2 linked regions of the Styela clava genome follow. The protein of the gene in region 2 purifies or fractionates together with the protein of the main gene of each other region. This does not show direct contact. Links are inferred from orthologs where the notes say so. Each region holds a gene or a part of one and is shown on either strand. Other genes may lie near its edges. The genes, in order: proteasome maturation protein-like and proteasome subunit alpha type-4-like.

What was found.
Region 1: the proteins of proteasome subunit alpha type-4-like (region 2) and proteasome maturation protein-like fractionate together in Homo sapiens (co-fractionation; 4 studies listed by BioGRID and IntAct, with this or other methods). This does not show direct contact. The link is inferred for Styela clava from reciprocal best matches to the Homo sapiens genes PSMA4 and POMP.

What each region holds. Positions count from the first base shown.
Region 1 is NC_135262.1:19,620,232-19,628,459, forward strand, and holds proteasome maturation protein-like, read right to left. Parts: upstream 3,421-8,228; 5' UTR 3,294-3,420; coding exon 3,291-3,293; intron 2,014-3,290; coding exon 1,804-2,013; intron 1,678-1,803; coding exon 1,530-1,677; intron 726-1,529; coding exon 652-725; 3' UTR 470-651; downstream 1-469. Other genes in the region: uncharacterized protein LOC120332779, read left to right, coding at 5,442-5,489, 7,811-8,228. UniProt on the Homo sapiens protein: Molecular chaperone essential for the assembly of standard proteasomes and immunoproteasomes. Degraded after completion of proteasome maturation. Mediates the association of 20S preproteasome with the endoplasmic reticulum.
Region 2 is NC_135264.1:10,773,355-10,781,080, forward strand, and holds proteasome subunit alpha type-4-like, read right to left. Parts: upstream 3,449-7,726; 5' UTR 3,287-3,448; coding exon 3,193-3,286; intron 2,619-3,192; coding exon 2,426-2,618; intron 1,829-2,425; coding exon 1,609-1,828; intron 1,128-1,608; coding exon 1,005-1,127; intron 543-1,004; coding exon 372-542; 3' UTR 209-371; downstream 1-208. UniProt on the Homo sapiens protein: Component of the 20S core proteasome complex involved in the proteolytic degradation of most intracellular proteins. This complex plays numerous essential roles within the cell by associating with different regulatory particles.

The sequences.
Region 1 (8,228 bases), on a different chromosome or scaffold from region 2:
TGCCATGTTGAGAGCAGTTGATGAAAATTCATCAATGTCAAAATGCGACATTGGCCCTGCAGAACTTATATATAATCTGCTTTCAACTTTATTCAAAGTTAGGGGGACAACAAAAACTTAAAAATTATTGATTTTACATTTCAGGAAATTTAATTTGTATTCTTGTTTGGTATTGAAGTTTTGCTCAATAGTTGCGTAAATGAGTATCACTGCGTAAAATCTTGGCAGCATCTATTTTGCTTATACAAAGCCACGATTTCAAAAACTCGCTTCAGAACTGTAAGAAAGACGCGATTCAATATGTTTTTGCTAAGCATAAAATAATCAGGAAACAGTTTGTGTAATCCATTGCGAAAATCCGGATACGAACAAACCGAACAATTATGATACTCTGGCCGTTCTGATCAGAAACAAGGGGATTTCAACCATCTCTATAACAATGTATCTATAACAATGTATATAAATAGGGTTCTGTGTAGGCTGATTCAGATTTGAATCTGTTTTTAATAGAAACGTATATGACAACAGAGAAAGTTAACATTTCAACCATTGCATTCATTGTAACCAGGTCAATCAAAAAGCCCTTTTGGGGATATTTCCAGTCAGTCAAGAGTATCTACCAAATTAAATCAATGTTTCATAAGGTTGTAATCATAATAGTTTCAATCCTGCTCTGTGTTCCGTCATAATATGCGGATCTCCCATTATTTCCGACTGAAATGGATCTGAAAAAGAAGAACAACAAATAGAGACTTAACATTTTTGGATCTATAAATAAACTATACTTTAGGTCAGTGGTTCCCAAACTTTTTAAGAGTTGGGACCCACTATTTATTACCACAGCTTATGGCAACCCATTTAACTTTAATAAAACTTACCTAAGATTTTATCAAGACTTACCTAAATGTGGATATATAAGGATTGATCAATGATTAAATATTTTTTTTTACATTAAAGTTTTTGTGCTGTTTATCTATCCTTGGCACGAATACAATAATCATATTGTGGCTCCAGATGCTGACAACCTTGGACCATCTATTTTTGTGTGAAGTTATGTGAATATTCTCAAAGGAAACTAGAGATGATTTACCATAGGGATAGGCCTACAATATAATATAGTCAATATTAAGGGCTCCAAAACATGAGTAAGAATTTTGTTGTCCTAACAAGTTTCAATTTACAATATATATATTCAATTAATTTTTGTTTTCGAAAACACTGTATTTTTCAAGCCTATCGCACATTAGCTTTACTGTAACTCTTTCGAACATCTCACATTGGCTTACTGACTACTGTCATAAATTTCCTTATAAATCTTACTCTATTTAATGGCCAAGTTTCTATGTCATATTTTCGCACTAAAGTACATCAGGTGTTACACATGAGCTTTTAAAACAAATCAAGTACAATTAGTAAAGTGGGAAATAAAATAAAATATGAAAGAATAACCTTGAAACATTACTTAATTGGCTTGTTATTATCGATATATTGCCTTTCATTGAGTTGATATCTCTCTAACAACAACCTACCATTAAAAACATCAAGATGTGATAACATAATGTCGTCTCCCAAAACGATTTCTTTGGAAAGCTGAGAAGATGGTAAACAAGGCAATCTTTGTGCACCTTTTGCTGTTGTGTTTATTTCCATTTGAAGTTGTATTGGAGCATACAAACCCTTAAAAAATATTCAATATTTTGACAATTGCAGTAACAAACTAGGATAACATAGGCATATTATTTGCATTTTAACAAATATTTGGATAAATTAATTGATCAAACAAAACAAAATCATGTATTATACCTGTGTTCGTCGTAGCATGTCCATTCTAATATTGAGCATATTAGCACTGTAATCTTTCAGTGAGGATTCAATAGGATGAGTTGATCCAACCCCTTTCTGTACATCTTTGAATCCAGTTCTCAAAGTGGAATTAATAACAAAATCATCATTTTCTTCACGTGGTATAGATAATGTTTCTTTCATATTGCAATGTAATAATCCCTGTGATTCCTGTTTATGTATATAATAAATTTTGTTGATATCTTTTTCTACTACTGTATGGAGTGAGAAAGAGGAATGGAAGGTAGCCAATACAGACTTTCCAGACCACGGATGAATCAAGATATGATTTGGATTTCCAGTCATTTTGCCAGTAAAAATATAGGCTATCTGTATCTGAATTTATGGAACATTTGGGTTTGTTAGGTTTAGGATTGTACCAGTGCTGGCAGGTAACGTCTGTGACAAATAGCAATCCATGAAAAAATCATCAGAAAAGTCTGTGGGATGAAAAGATGTTAATGTTATACCGGTACATATAAAAATCATCCTTTGCAGGCCATACAGAAAAGACCTGACAAACATCACTAAAGTTTAACAAAGCTTTAATTCTATAAAGTGCGACTTTAAATCTCCATCTAAATGACATCAGCTGTTCGAAGACAAATTATTAGATTTATTATTATCAGCGCGGCGGTGTGGCTAAGCGCTAGGAATACGCTCGCCATCGCACCTCTAATTACTCTGCGTGGGTTCGAATCCCATGCAGGGATGATTATGTGCGAGAGGATTGCTGGACTACTCGCTGTCGTTGGGTGGTTCACGAAACCGCTGGTCGGTAACGGCTTCCTCCTCCACCAAGTCCATGCTTTCGTAAACAAACAATATAACTAATCCCATACCCGACTTGGAATGGTAACCGGACGAGAGGCCATGGTTCGCCATATGGATAAGCCGTCTTATCGGCTTTCCGCTCCCCCGGGATAAATATGTAAATCCTATCCTATTAGACTATCTCAGTATCTGTAGCCTTCCTCTGCACTCAAGACCAGACTGCCAGAAGACTGTGAAGCTGAAACATGAAACCTATACATCTGAAACAAGTAGGCCTGTAGGCCTAGGCTAATGGGCTAACTACAGAACTAACACTAAGCCCATGCAGTCATATGCAAAATGGACAATACCGCAGGGTACGAAACCGGTACAGCAATACCTGAATACGGTACTGCCAGCAAAAGGAAATCACGAATATCAGAATATAGCCTACCGTAACATTAGACTATGAATATCAATCTCTGAACTTGTTAACATTCTGAAATCCACATGGATAACCATGAACTGGCAGACACAGGGCTATCTTGCTACACGAAAATACTCAGCAATAACAAAAATAATAGAAATACCCGGCACTGTCAGACTGTACCGGGGACGTACTGGAATATTAACAACTACAGAAATATGACTAAATAAGAGGAAACGAACGAGTGGCACAAAATAACAAAACTTACCATCACGACCCTTCCTCTACAAATTGCCAAAGTGAAACAAAAGTCTGGAATTGTCACTCTGAAGTTCCAAATAATAGTAGGCAAACCGATTAAATGATGACGCCGCAGTAACTGGAAATCGATTTGTGAAAATGACTAAGCAATATTAAGCTATGATTATTTTTTTCGACCCTTGACCCGTGAAGAATTCTTTCATTTAATTGACCAAAATTTATTTTGAGGGAATTTTCGGTGATTATCGCATGTGAACGAACTAGATAATATGTCAACATTGATATTAAGTAATTAAACAAATTGCCAAAAGGATTTACACGTGGGTTGTCGGAGTTAACCCCAACTGAACAGAGGCCAAATAAGCATGCCTTCTTGTGGCCTGGAGTCAGATTGCGCAAACGGAGATCTTGCAACATCTACGGAGGAACAAAGTTAAGTACAATTCACGATTCTTCCTAACTTAAACGCAGGGGCCATTAGCTAACATTAATCGCCAATTTTTTTCCAAGTTGCAGACGAGAAAGAATCGACAAATAACGAGATGACAATGCATTAAAGACAAATAACAGTTGGACATTGCTAAACGACCATGGAACGACAAGACGAATACTGATGATGGCTCACGAACATACGAATCGAACTTTTAAAAATATTATGAGGTGAAAAATCCACGAAAAACTAATCAAAATGATGACATAATGAATCAACAACAGACGAAGGGACTTTGAAAAGAATTACGGTATACGAGTATATATTAAACGCGCGCTCAAACAAAGTATATATTTAACGCGGCAAGAGATGGAACGAATGAACAATGTAGAATAAAGTGTTATGTTATTTTATGTTCATAATTTTGATTAATTTTATAAGTTACAGATTTTTCATCTTGTTGGGACTCGCTTCATCCTTCTCCTATTCTTAAGGTAAAATTCTTCTATTTCTCTCTGTCGTTTTAAAATTCGGCTTCCAATTTTTATGAATTCCTTGAAGGTAGGGTAATTCGGATGTTTATTTAAGTGGCATAAAATCGTTAGGCCAAATGATTGCCCAACAAAAGTAAATGTTTAATTGCAAAAGATTTTCATAAGAATGGAAATTAACGGTCAAAAACAACCCCATTTTCAATAGAATATGGTATGTTTCTAAATCACTGACAACTTTTTAAAACGGAATCACACTTTAAGCTCACCAATATATTCGTCTAATACAGGGGTTTCCAAACCGCGGGCCAACTCCGGCCCGCGTAACGATTTAAAATGGCCCGCCGAGCTTAAGTGAAACAATGAAATAGATTTTGTTAAAGTTTACAATCTAGAAACCGCCAATTGTTATGTCATTATCACAGTTTGAGCTCGTGTTCATGGTAACAATTCGATTATGCCGGTATCTCAATTATACGTACCGTATTAGGATTACATAGGGCAGTAATTTAGTTATCAGCCGTTTAAGAAAGGTTAGAGATGTCAAATAATATACAAGACTCTGAAAACAGATGTTACTCCGATAAATGGCATTGTTCGTATTTCTGTATTGAAAAGAATCACACTTCAGCGATTTGTCCACTTAGCCAACGAACTATTCAAGTTATAAATCAATACGACATAAAGCGCCATTATGAATCAAACAAACATGTTTAAAAAAATGTCAAACGTGAATCCACAGAACCCCAGCCAAACCATTGCACACTTTCGGGCACTACACTCTTCCGGCCCGCGAACATCCTTTCGATTCTAATTTTGGCCCGCGGCCAATAAAGTTTGGGAACCCTTGGACTCTAATACGAATATATTGACCAAACACATAAGCAAAGCGCTCTCTTTTTTTCTCAACGCCCACAGACGGCTAACTTTTTTTTTCAACGCGCTCCTACCCCAACAAGGGGATATCAAGGCTAACTAAGTCATTACTCGCGAGTTTTAGGGTTAAGGTGTGATGAAATATGTTAAATTGAAATCATTGTTTTGACTGTCAATATCAAATTTGAAACAGAGCCATTATATAACTAGTCTGGAAGGTCCAACGACTAACATACCTGGAAGGCCGTATACTGATCTGTTGTTCACAGCGTCATCTAGTGTTGGCGTGGGTAATTCATAACCACGGCGTCGTCTGCAGTATATTTTAGGCTGCTCGCTGTTAACGGTATTCAAAGTTCGAATGAAAATGGATTTATCTGAGGAAAAAATGCTTGAATTTTTTGATGACGTGAGTTACATAGTACTGATTGCTTATTAAAATAGGTTTTGATCCTGAAAGAATCAATAGTAAGAGTTTATAGTGTAGCAAGTACATAAGGATAGTTACTGTGTATTTTAATATTTTCACCACTTATTGTTAGTAGTGCATGTTATTTGCCTGAAACAAGGTCGTTGTCCCAATTTATTTCCTTTATGATATATTTCTCTCACTCAGTGTAGCTTGTCTTTGCCGTTCTTTGTTAGTTAGAAATTTGGTTTCATCACATATACTTGCTTTAGGGGTTTCAAGTGTAATTCGTTATTTGAATCAATTCGATTGTGCAACTTTACAATATAACAATTGGCATTCAATACATTGTGTGCTTTTTGGCCTCTGAAGGAGTCAAGATCGGAGTTACACTCTGTTAACGTGTGTTCAATAACACGGGTGTGTGGACACGCAGATAGGGTCGAATCTTTGTTGCCCTATATTTTGGTGATACCCGTTCGTGATCAATAAGCAATCAACTTCAATTCAGCAACTGGAATTTCGTCAATCAAAATGGAAAAGAAATTCATCACCAATCGAGTCAATGGACAATACGTCGGCATTTCAGGAATCAAGCAACCAACCAAATTGCAGTCTTTGGCGGTATGTCAATTTATTAAGCAGTCAAGAAGGCCAGAACAAGGTAGATTTTTGACTCAAAACGAGGAATCTGGACCAGGACCTCCTACGATCAGACAGTACTAACTCAACTTCAACTCTTCAAGTTTAACGCCCGAGTTCACGCTCGTGTATTTTCATTTTCCAAGCATCAACGCCCAAATTCTTTGAATTTGTGTCTCATTATCAACCTATATATTATAACTATATATTTTGTGTGTCAACCGGATCAGGAGATATGGACTTCAGCAGCTCAATCCGCCTCATTACAATTTAAAGTTACCAGGACAGCTTCATATTATTACTGGATTTTCAAATGTGTTTATCGACAAAGCAAGCTACGTAAAAAAAAAAAACATTGATATTATCTACGCAAGCCGATTTTTTTTACACCAAGAAGCAGCATTTAGCGACCTACTGTTTGACGAACGTACGAACGAACATCTACTTTATTCTCTCAAGTCGATCATCATCTATTTCAGCATCATTGGAAACCAAGTCGAACCCAAATACTCGTGACCCGCGTGGAAGGGTCCTCTCTATTTCAATCACATAACACGAAAACTTCACTCTCCCCTAGCTGATTTAAGCCAATGCTCACCCAATTCCGGGTTTTGCCGGAAAGGTGCGTTTACATTTGTCTGGAACGTTGATGATACGAAAGTTTGCAGGGCCCGCGACTCTCCGAAATTCAACGCTACCACACTCTTGTTACATTTCAATTCATCGGACAATCTTCCCAGATTGAAAAATCCGAGAGTTGGACAGGTTTTCAAAGCTTAGAGGAATGTTTTCAACGAACGAAATCTTAACGTCAACATTATTCTTCAAATCAACTATTACGCTCATTATTTTACAAAGCAGAAAGAAGTCGATTGTCCAAACGCAATGGCTTAGTTCTGGGTGTTATCGAAGATTTCGTGAAAATCTGTAGATTTCACCGCAAAAGATCCTTCAACCGGAGGTATCTCAATCAAATTGGTTTTCCTGTGTCGTTGCATTAGTTGGTCATCAGCGACTTTGATGCAGAATTAAATACACCAATACATGGCAAATTTTACGACATATTATTCAATCAGAAATCGTTATTAGCTAGTCTTACAAAATTTAAAAATTAGCAAACTAATTTTTTTCATTGTCGGGGGGAATTGTGTAGCAAGTACATAAGGATAGTTACTGTGTATTTTAATATTTTCACCACTTATTGTTAGTAGTGCATGTTATTTGCCTGAAACAAGGTCGTTGTCCCAATTCATTTCCTTTATGATATATTTCTCTCACTCAGTGTAGCTTGTCTTTGCCGTTCTTTGTTAGTTAGAAATTTGGTTTCATCACATATACTTGCTTTAGGGGTTTCAAGTGTAATTCGTTATTTGAATCAATTCGATTGTGCAACTTTACAATATAACAATTGGCATTCAATACATTGTGTGCTTTTTGGCCTCTGAAGGAGTCAAGATCGGAGTTACACTCTGTTAACGTGTGTTCAATAACACGGGTGTGTGGACACGCAGATAGGGTCGAATCTTTGTTGCCCTATAATAGTACCGTAGTTTAATATATGAAAGTGGAGGCCGTTTTTGTTTTGCTTAAAATTTTGGTCAGTATTTTTACATCACATTTGTTTTTCTTTATTCAAGCACTCCGGCACTGTTTTAGACCCGATTTTATATATTTCACAGCTTGATGACGAGATAGAAGGAAAATGGGGCATATCTGTAGTAGAAATCGACTACGGAAGTGTTGATTGCAAGAAGACACTGCAGACTGCATTGAATGATTTGAACATCACATTAAATCAGGAATCACCACTATGGGCAGATGTTATAGCGGATATGATGGAAATTTCTAGGGAAGAATCCAGAAGTAAAGTGACAGCTAAATACATTGAAAAATTGCAAAAGCCACATTCGAACAATTTTGAAATCTCTCATTTGGACCTAAAACGCATAATCAAAACTGCAGCACCGAAAATTATAAAAGAAGCGTTTCAAGTAACCCAAGTAACTGAACCATTCATGCAAACGTCAATAACCAAAGGCGACAAAAAGATGATTGAGGACCTAGCTGGGGGGTTGCTAAAATGGGGAATAAAGGGTC
Region 2 (7,726 bases):
TTGCCCCGGTTGTCAAAATGACCACGCGCCGCCACTGCCGTAGTCTATGTACCTACATTAGCTCTTCGAGTGGGGTGGTAAATTTTGTATTCTGAAGCTTAGAGATGTAGACTATACATATGGAGTGTAAAATTATGAACTAGTTATTTCTATTCTTTAACTACAAAACCTTTTAGAATTCAGAAACATCCTTCCAAATTTGCAACACTTATATGAACAATATTACTAGCTTTTATTCACATATCCGAATCATATTGCGGCATGCTTGTGCGACATGTATTGCCTGAATCTTGGCATATGAAAGCAGCCTTCAGATTGGAACTCGAAAAAAGTATCAAAATATTAATTATCTATTCAGTCAATGTTCAGAATCACTTCTTTGGAGTCTTTTTAGGAGTTAATCTTTTCTCTTTTTCCCTTTTTTCAGCTTCTTCCTTCGCTTTTTCTTCCTCATATACTTTACATTCTTTGTCAATGACAGAATTCGGCAGAATTTTTATGACAGTCTTGCCGTCTACTCTGGTTAATGTAGCCATCTCAACCTGTAAAGAATAGAACAGTTGTCAGTCAATTTCTGTAAGCAAACTGTATACGGTCATGCTGATGCCTGTTGTGGGACGTTATACAAGTTTAAGAATTTTTGTAAATTTCGAGATTTTTAATAGATTTCCTATCCAAAATTAACATGGATGATGGCTTTTGTTGATGACCCGTTGGACTAACAAACAAATACCTTTTTCACACCAAATCACACGTAACAATTTAGAAGGTCATACACCAATTGGTTGCTACAAGCATTAGTCATGGTAAAACATGCTCTTAAGGAAGTGGTTTCCAACCCTGTTCTGCTAATACAGTCGCTGGTTTCAAATCCAAGAGTCTATATTGACATTTTACATATGTCGAATATCGTTTCAATATAATCAAATACCTAGAGTAAAATATATGAAATTAAGTTTTGGTATTTGAATACTTGTGTTATAATAAAATAAATCCAATATCACCTTTTCAGATGTTAATTTATTCGTGTCAAGTGTTTTGCTGAGAACTTTCACAGCAAGTTTCAATGCACCTGTGATTGTCGTATCATTTTCCTTGTATTCTTGCTTCAACATGGATACAGCAGCCTTGAAAAATATGTTGAATAACTTAATTTATTCAGTATAAAAAAACTTTGTGTTAGAATATTCATATTGTCCTATCCTCAGATGAATATATGATGAATATAATGATGAAAATAACACATATTTGATTACGGTTTATTTTAATGCATGTTCAAGACGGTGGTTCTTCTTAACTTCCCAAACTGTATTCAGAAAACCAAATATCTAAAACAACTACATTATTTATACGACCATGTGTGCCAGAAGAGAAAGATCACTGTCATTAATTTCAATAAGCATCCATACTAACAAAAAATAACAAATAGTGGATAGATATTTAATTTAGAAAATCTTCAGCCATGCAGGACATACTTATATCCGAAATTTGTTGAAATTATTTGTGATATCACAAGATCATATATTCAAATGTTCTTCCTTTTCTCTTGTTAAGTGTGTTTTAACCTAGTGTCACAATTGAAAGCAAAACATGTTATCTGAAACAAACCTGGCTATTATGTCCAATACATGTAGCCTTCCATCCTCCAAAATTCCCACTCGGATCTGATTGGTAAAGTTGAAATCCATGATGCTTGTCCCATCCCATGTATAAAACAGATATTCCGAATGGTCGAAGACCTCCAAACTGTGTATATGCTTGTTTTATATCACATAAACTGACAACAAGCTGCTCTATTGGAATGGGCTCCTGGTATTGAATCATATATCTAAAGTTAAAGAGATACTATTTAGTTTAGTGAGCTAACTATGTACAATAATAACACAAATTCTATATAAATATTGAGCTGTCAAGATCCTTTAAGAGGGTCAAATTCAAGTTGGGCAATGGGTCCTGTATGTTAAGAAAATTAGGTTTCTGACATAATATGTATGGCAGGGGTTCTCAAACTTTTGGTGTTATGAAGTCCGTGAAAAGATTGACCATTATATACTTAGCCTCATAATAAATTTACAAGAATAAAAACATTGTTGGTTACGAATTAATGTCACTGAGTAAACTGAGATTACTTTATTTAATGACTCGAATGTATTTGCTGCTCTGTAATTAATAAATTAGCCCTGGGGCTCCGTATGGAGCACTTTGAGAACCCACTATGTATGGCCCTGTTTTATATCATTTGACGATTGACTCATTGAGCTAATCGGAAAAATCACCACATAAAAAATTCCACTTCACAGTAATGATGACAATTAGCCCAGCGCAAGTAGTTAAAACAACGGTGCTCCTACAATTCGTCTATTTTTAAAAAACAAAAGTTCAAGTTGTATTGATTGCTAGAAATGCACCTTACTATTGAATATACCTTTGAGCTATAACTCTCAGTTCATTTATTAGAACATTTGCATCTGAGGTTATTCCTGCAACGCTACATGCAATGTTTTCATCCAGTTTATAGATTTTATCAGATTCAAAGACTTCATCTAATAATTTGTGAATATTTCGCTTCTCTGCTGCGAGGAGAATTCCATCATTTGCAAGAATCCCGAGACAAGTACCTGAAATAAAATGAGCAAATTGTATGTCAGTAGGTTGGGTCTGGTATAGTTTAGTACCACATGCATATGAGCGTATGTGAAGCTATACTTTGGCAAGCTCTATGACGTGACAAAATTTGTTATGTTAGGCCCACTAAAAGTGCATGTGGTACTAAACTATACTTGATCCAGTAGGTTGACTAGGCAGTTAAGTCCAAACACTTATTTGGCTTATCAGTAGGGCACAGTTACCGGTATCCAATTTCGAGAATGTCTCAATATTCAGATACAGTATTTGTGACAGAAAACAATGGCCTGACGACAGATCCATAAAACTGTACGAACCACGGTATGATACAAATTAATCATGACCTGTGTAAGCCAAGATGTGACCAAAATTCGTTACTGCCGACTTGACAAAAACTCTTGAATGCTACAGTATATTTATTTTCTTCGGATGAATTGAATCTATCTATGTCTACCGTGAACTTAAGATTGTCTCGTGAAGGAGGGGTTTGTACTAATGGTTATAACTGATGTTGGTAAGCTTTTAATTTATCATTGAATGGTTCTTTTACTGATTTAACATACTCACCAGCATGACCAATCGCTTCCATTGCGTATTCAACCTGGTAAAGCCGTCCCTCTGGAGAAAATATCGTCGTTCGTGAATCGTATCTACGAGACATTTTTCAATCTATTAAATGCCCAGTTCTGTCTTAAAATTATTTCATATAATTCAAAATATTTCCCGCAACGTCGCAAATTGCTTTTAAATCAGAATTGAAAGAAAAAATAATTAAAAAACGCCGAAGAATAACACTATAATGATATACTACAGGTACCCTATGCTCTGGAAGCAGCAACAAACGCTTCGGATTATTAGATGACTCCGCAAATTAATAACCAGTCAACCAACACATTACTAAGCAAAATCGTTGGGTGCGCTGTTGTGGTATGTGCTTTTTTTTCAGTTCGTGCTTTTACACCTCGATTGATGATAGTACGATTCTATTTTTGTATCTACCGATATCTTCAGGGAGAGAAAAAGCGATTAAAATGACTTATTCTACCGTTGGCCTTGTTAAAAGTCCATGTCGAGTATGCGAATAGCATAGGTAATAGACTCCGAGTGAATTTTTTCGGGAGATACCAAAAGGTTTCCAATTCAAATTGCCACCTAATTATGCAGTTTCGTTCGCCGGGCCAGATTTGTTTTGAAACAGTACTTTTAATTCTGAAGGCCTTCGGCAAAGTGATTGAATCGTAAATAAATACGAATACTATATGGTAATATTGGTTGAACAGTTAAATTTAGCACTTGTTTGGCGGAGACTTCTGCCATCATGTCGATTAGTTTCATTGAGCTTTTTTAATGTGATATATATTATTTTGTGGTGGTATATGATTGATGTAAACTATCTCTATGACATAATTTCAGCAGCAATGTATACTTGCTGCAATTGAGTCTTATTTGTGCAAGTAGTCTAATTGATCGGGAGTTCGCGGTGAAACCATTGCGGCATAGGAAATCGGTTGTCGATAAGGAAGGAAAGAATGGAAAAAATAATCCTGTTCCTTCATATAATTGAGATCTTGTGTTGCTGTCTGGCCTCTTGTTTTATTTTCAGCGTGGTTTTGGATTTACGATTGTCATTTTTTTGGAATCAAAATACTCATGCTGATTAATCCAGTAGTCGGATAGGGTGTAATATTAAATTGAATATATTTTGATCATTAATCAGAATCCTAAACTATCGCTCAGTGTAAAATTATATGGCGCCCATTTCAAACTTAGGCTTTGACGTTCCTAGATATATAATCATTTAATCGAGATAGCTGCTTGTATATATTCTCGTAGGAAGCTTCATGATGTCTTAGCACAGCGTTTCCTAACCTTTTTTGGTCGCGGGCTATTTCTCACTAGCGAAAATCTTAGCGGACTCAAGGTGCGTTTATTGTAACCGAAATATGTGTGAAGAAGCAATAAAACCAAACACTACAAAATTTTATCGAAGTCAGGTTATCCCGGACGTGTCCCACGAATCTGGGCTACTATTGCCGTGTCCAAGTCACGTGTTTCCAGGTATTTTAATAGTTTCATCAATTCGACCACGACACTAAAAGGCTTAGTGACCTTCACGAACTAAACCAGGGCTTCCCAAACTTTTGAGCTCGCGGCCCTTTCAATATTGTAAAATTTTTCGCGGCCTCTGTTCACGTTAACCCTTTCCATGCGATTTTTATTTTTTATTAAATAATCGTATTTGCTACCCCGATTTTATGCATTTGTACCCCCACAACTAATCGATCGACTAACGAAAAAGTAATGATCCTCTGCTGCCCACTGACGGCTCGTTGGAAAGCTTATTTAAAGAGCTTGCAACTGGCGATTAAAAAAAAAATTTTTTTTTAAAGGGGTGGTCTGAGTCACAAACCGGATAGAAAAAGGGCATTTTTTCTTCTTGGGTGTTGAAACTTCAAACCGTGATAAAAAATAGAAATATTTGCTAAATCCTTTACTGTTACCGCTTCTTGGTTGGCAAACAATAGCATAATATTGCTGTAGCAATTTCGTTATCTAACTCAAAATACTTTGGTAGATGGAAGGGATAATATGTCTTCTATTACCACCCAAAAAACACCGAAATTTGCATAAATTTCAAAAACACTCCCTCGTTCCGCCGCAAATAAAATTCCCATGGTAAACGAAAGCGAGATTTACCGTCGCTTATGTTAATCTCGAAGAAGACTTCTTATCAATAAACTAAAACCCGGAAAAACTAGACCAACAGTTTGCGACCGATTGCTAAATAAAACAGTGGAGTACATCAACGTACCCGCCGCAATCTAGCGAGTTTTGTCGTGGGTACGTATACGTGCCCACCGCACGGAAAGGGTTAATAATGCTAAACAGTTCGAAATATACATTTTAGATATTTTTATGATACGGTAAATTTTCATCTTTTAGTGGGCCTATTCGGTAACAAAAACAAACACGAATTTGTTCAGATGAACTTCACTCATCAATCAGTGTGATGGATGCGAATGATTTTTGCCGCACAGCAAGTCCAGTCGTAGCTCGCTGTTTGTTAATGCAGGCCTCAATTATAATGAACAACGGTATAGGATGATGTATTCACTGGGAATCGTGAATTTTTTGTTCAAAATAAAAGTCGCTTCGCGGCCCTTTGCGGGGCCGCGGCCCCTAGTTTGTGAAGACTGAACTAAACCACTGCATAACGTTTCTAAAACGATATTGCTCATTGAGGATTCACGGAATTTTTTGAGATCAGAGAACCGGTTAGCATTACTAGTTATTGTCAATGACTTTTGTAACAGAACCGGCTGAAAAAATATGACTTTTGTGATGAAACCGGCTGACCAAAAATTTGAATCCCACTACTGGCTATACCATAAGTAAATGAACAAATGTGATTCCGAGGGATGAAACATTTGTTTATTTAGCAATATTTGAGTTTACTTGAGCGTAGCTGCAAACACTGTGCGTCCATAAGTAGTTATAGTTTGCCTTGAAAGACTCTGTGCCTTATCCAAATATAATATAGCCTACCTCTAAAACCGCATGGGTTTATAGAATTTCGCCAGTCGCTAGATCAGATTGGTGTCGAATATAGAAGTGGTATTGTTATTCATGCCAGCTATGGTAGATATAACTTTACGTACATTTGCCTTACAACCTTAAGCATACGAATTTGCACTTAGTAGTGCCATTAGCGTGATCACCAGCACGCTAGTAATGTTGGCCTATCGTATGCATATAACTGTTCAACTTTTGTACAGAATAATATGAATGAAAAGTTAGCAGTTCGTAAGTTTCGTGAATACTTACAGATCAAAACAGTGCATCCGAATCCGGATTATGCATCCGCAGTTTCGTTCTTGGATGATTACGCGAAAGAACTTGGCATTGACGCAAAGCATGTGAAGATTGACAAGGACCGAGAGGTTGTGGTTATGACAATACCAGGTCGAAATCCCAACTTGCCGTCGATTTTACTTAATTCTCATATAGATGTTGTTCCGGTGTTTGAAGACGACTGGAAATTTGATCCATGGGAAGCTCATAAGGACGAAAAAGGAAATATATATGGTAGAGGCTCCCAGGATATGAAATGCGTCGGCATACAGTACCTGGAAGCATTGAAGATATTGACGAAAACTAAAAAAGAAACACATTTGAACGTACGATTCATCTCACATTTGTTCCTGATGAGGAAATCAATAATGGCGACAAGGGGATGAAGCTTTTTTTAGACACACCTGTTTTCAGTGCCATGAACGTAGGCCTGGCTTTGGACGAAGGGATTGCTAATTCGGATAATAATTATTCTGTTTTCTATGGTGAAAGATTGATGTGGGTGGTGCACATCAAGTGCAAAGGAAATCCAGGTCATGGATCGCGATTTATACAAGGCACTGCTGCTGGAAAATAGCAAAATGTTATCGATAAATTTCAGGAATTCAGAACATCAGAAGAAAAGCGACTATGCAACAATTCTGGTCTAACATTAGGAGATGTTACTACAGTTAACTTGACCATGATCAAAGGTGGAGTGCAACCGAATGTAGTACCTGAAGAATTTGTAGCCACTTTTGATATCAGGTTCCCGCCAACGATTGACTTGGAAGCGTTCGAAAGCAGAATATCCTCTTGGTGCAAAGACGCCGGAAATGACGTCACATTTGAGTTTGAATGTAAAGATACGTGTCAAGCAATTACAACTGCGGATCAAACAAATCCATGGTGGCGGGCTTTTACATTCGCTTTTCATAAAAGAAACCTGCACTATACAAAAGAAATTTTCTGTGCCGGTACTGATGGGCGATTTCTTCGTGAACGAGGTTATCAAGTTATTGGATTCAGTCCAATGCGAAATACACCTATTCTTCTTCATGATAACAACGAGTTTTTGAACGAGAGTGTGTTTTTGGAAGGAATCGAGCTTTACTGCGACATAATTTCGGCCATTGCAAACTTGAAGTGTTAACTTACACATATATACCAAATATATACAGTGGTGTGATTCAGGGTGTTTGCGCGAACCCGTTCTTGGAATGTCGTGATAATCAGTGAACCCGTTCTTGAGTGTTTTTGTTTTAGTTCG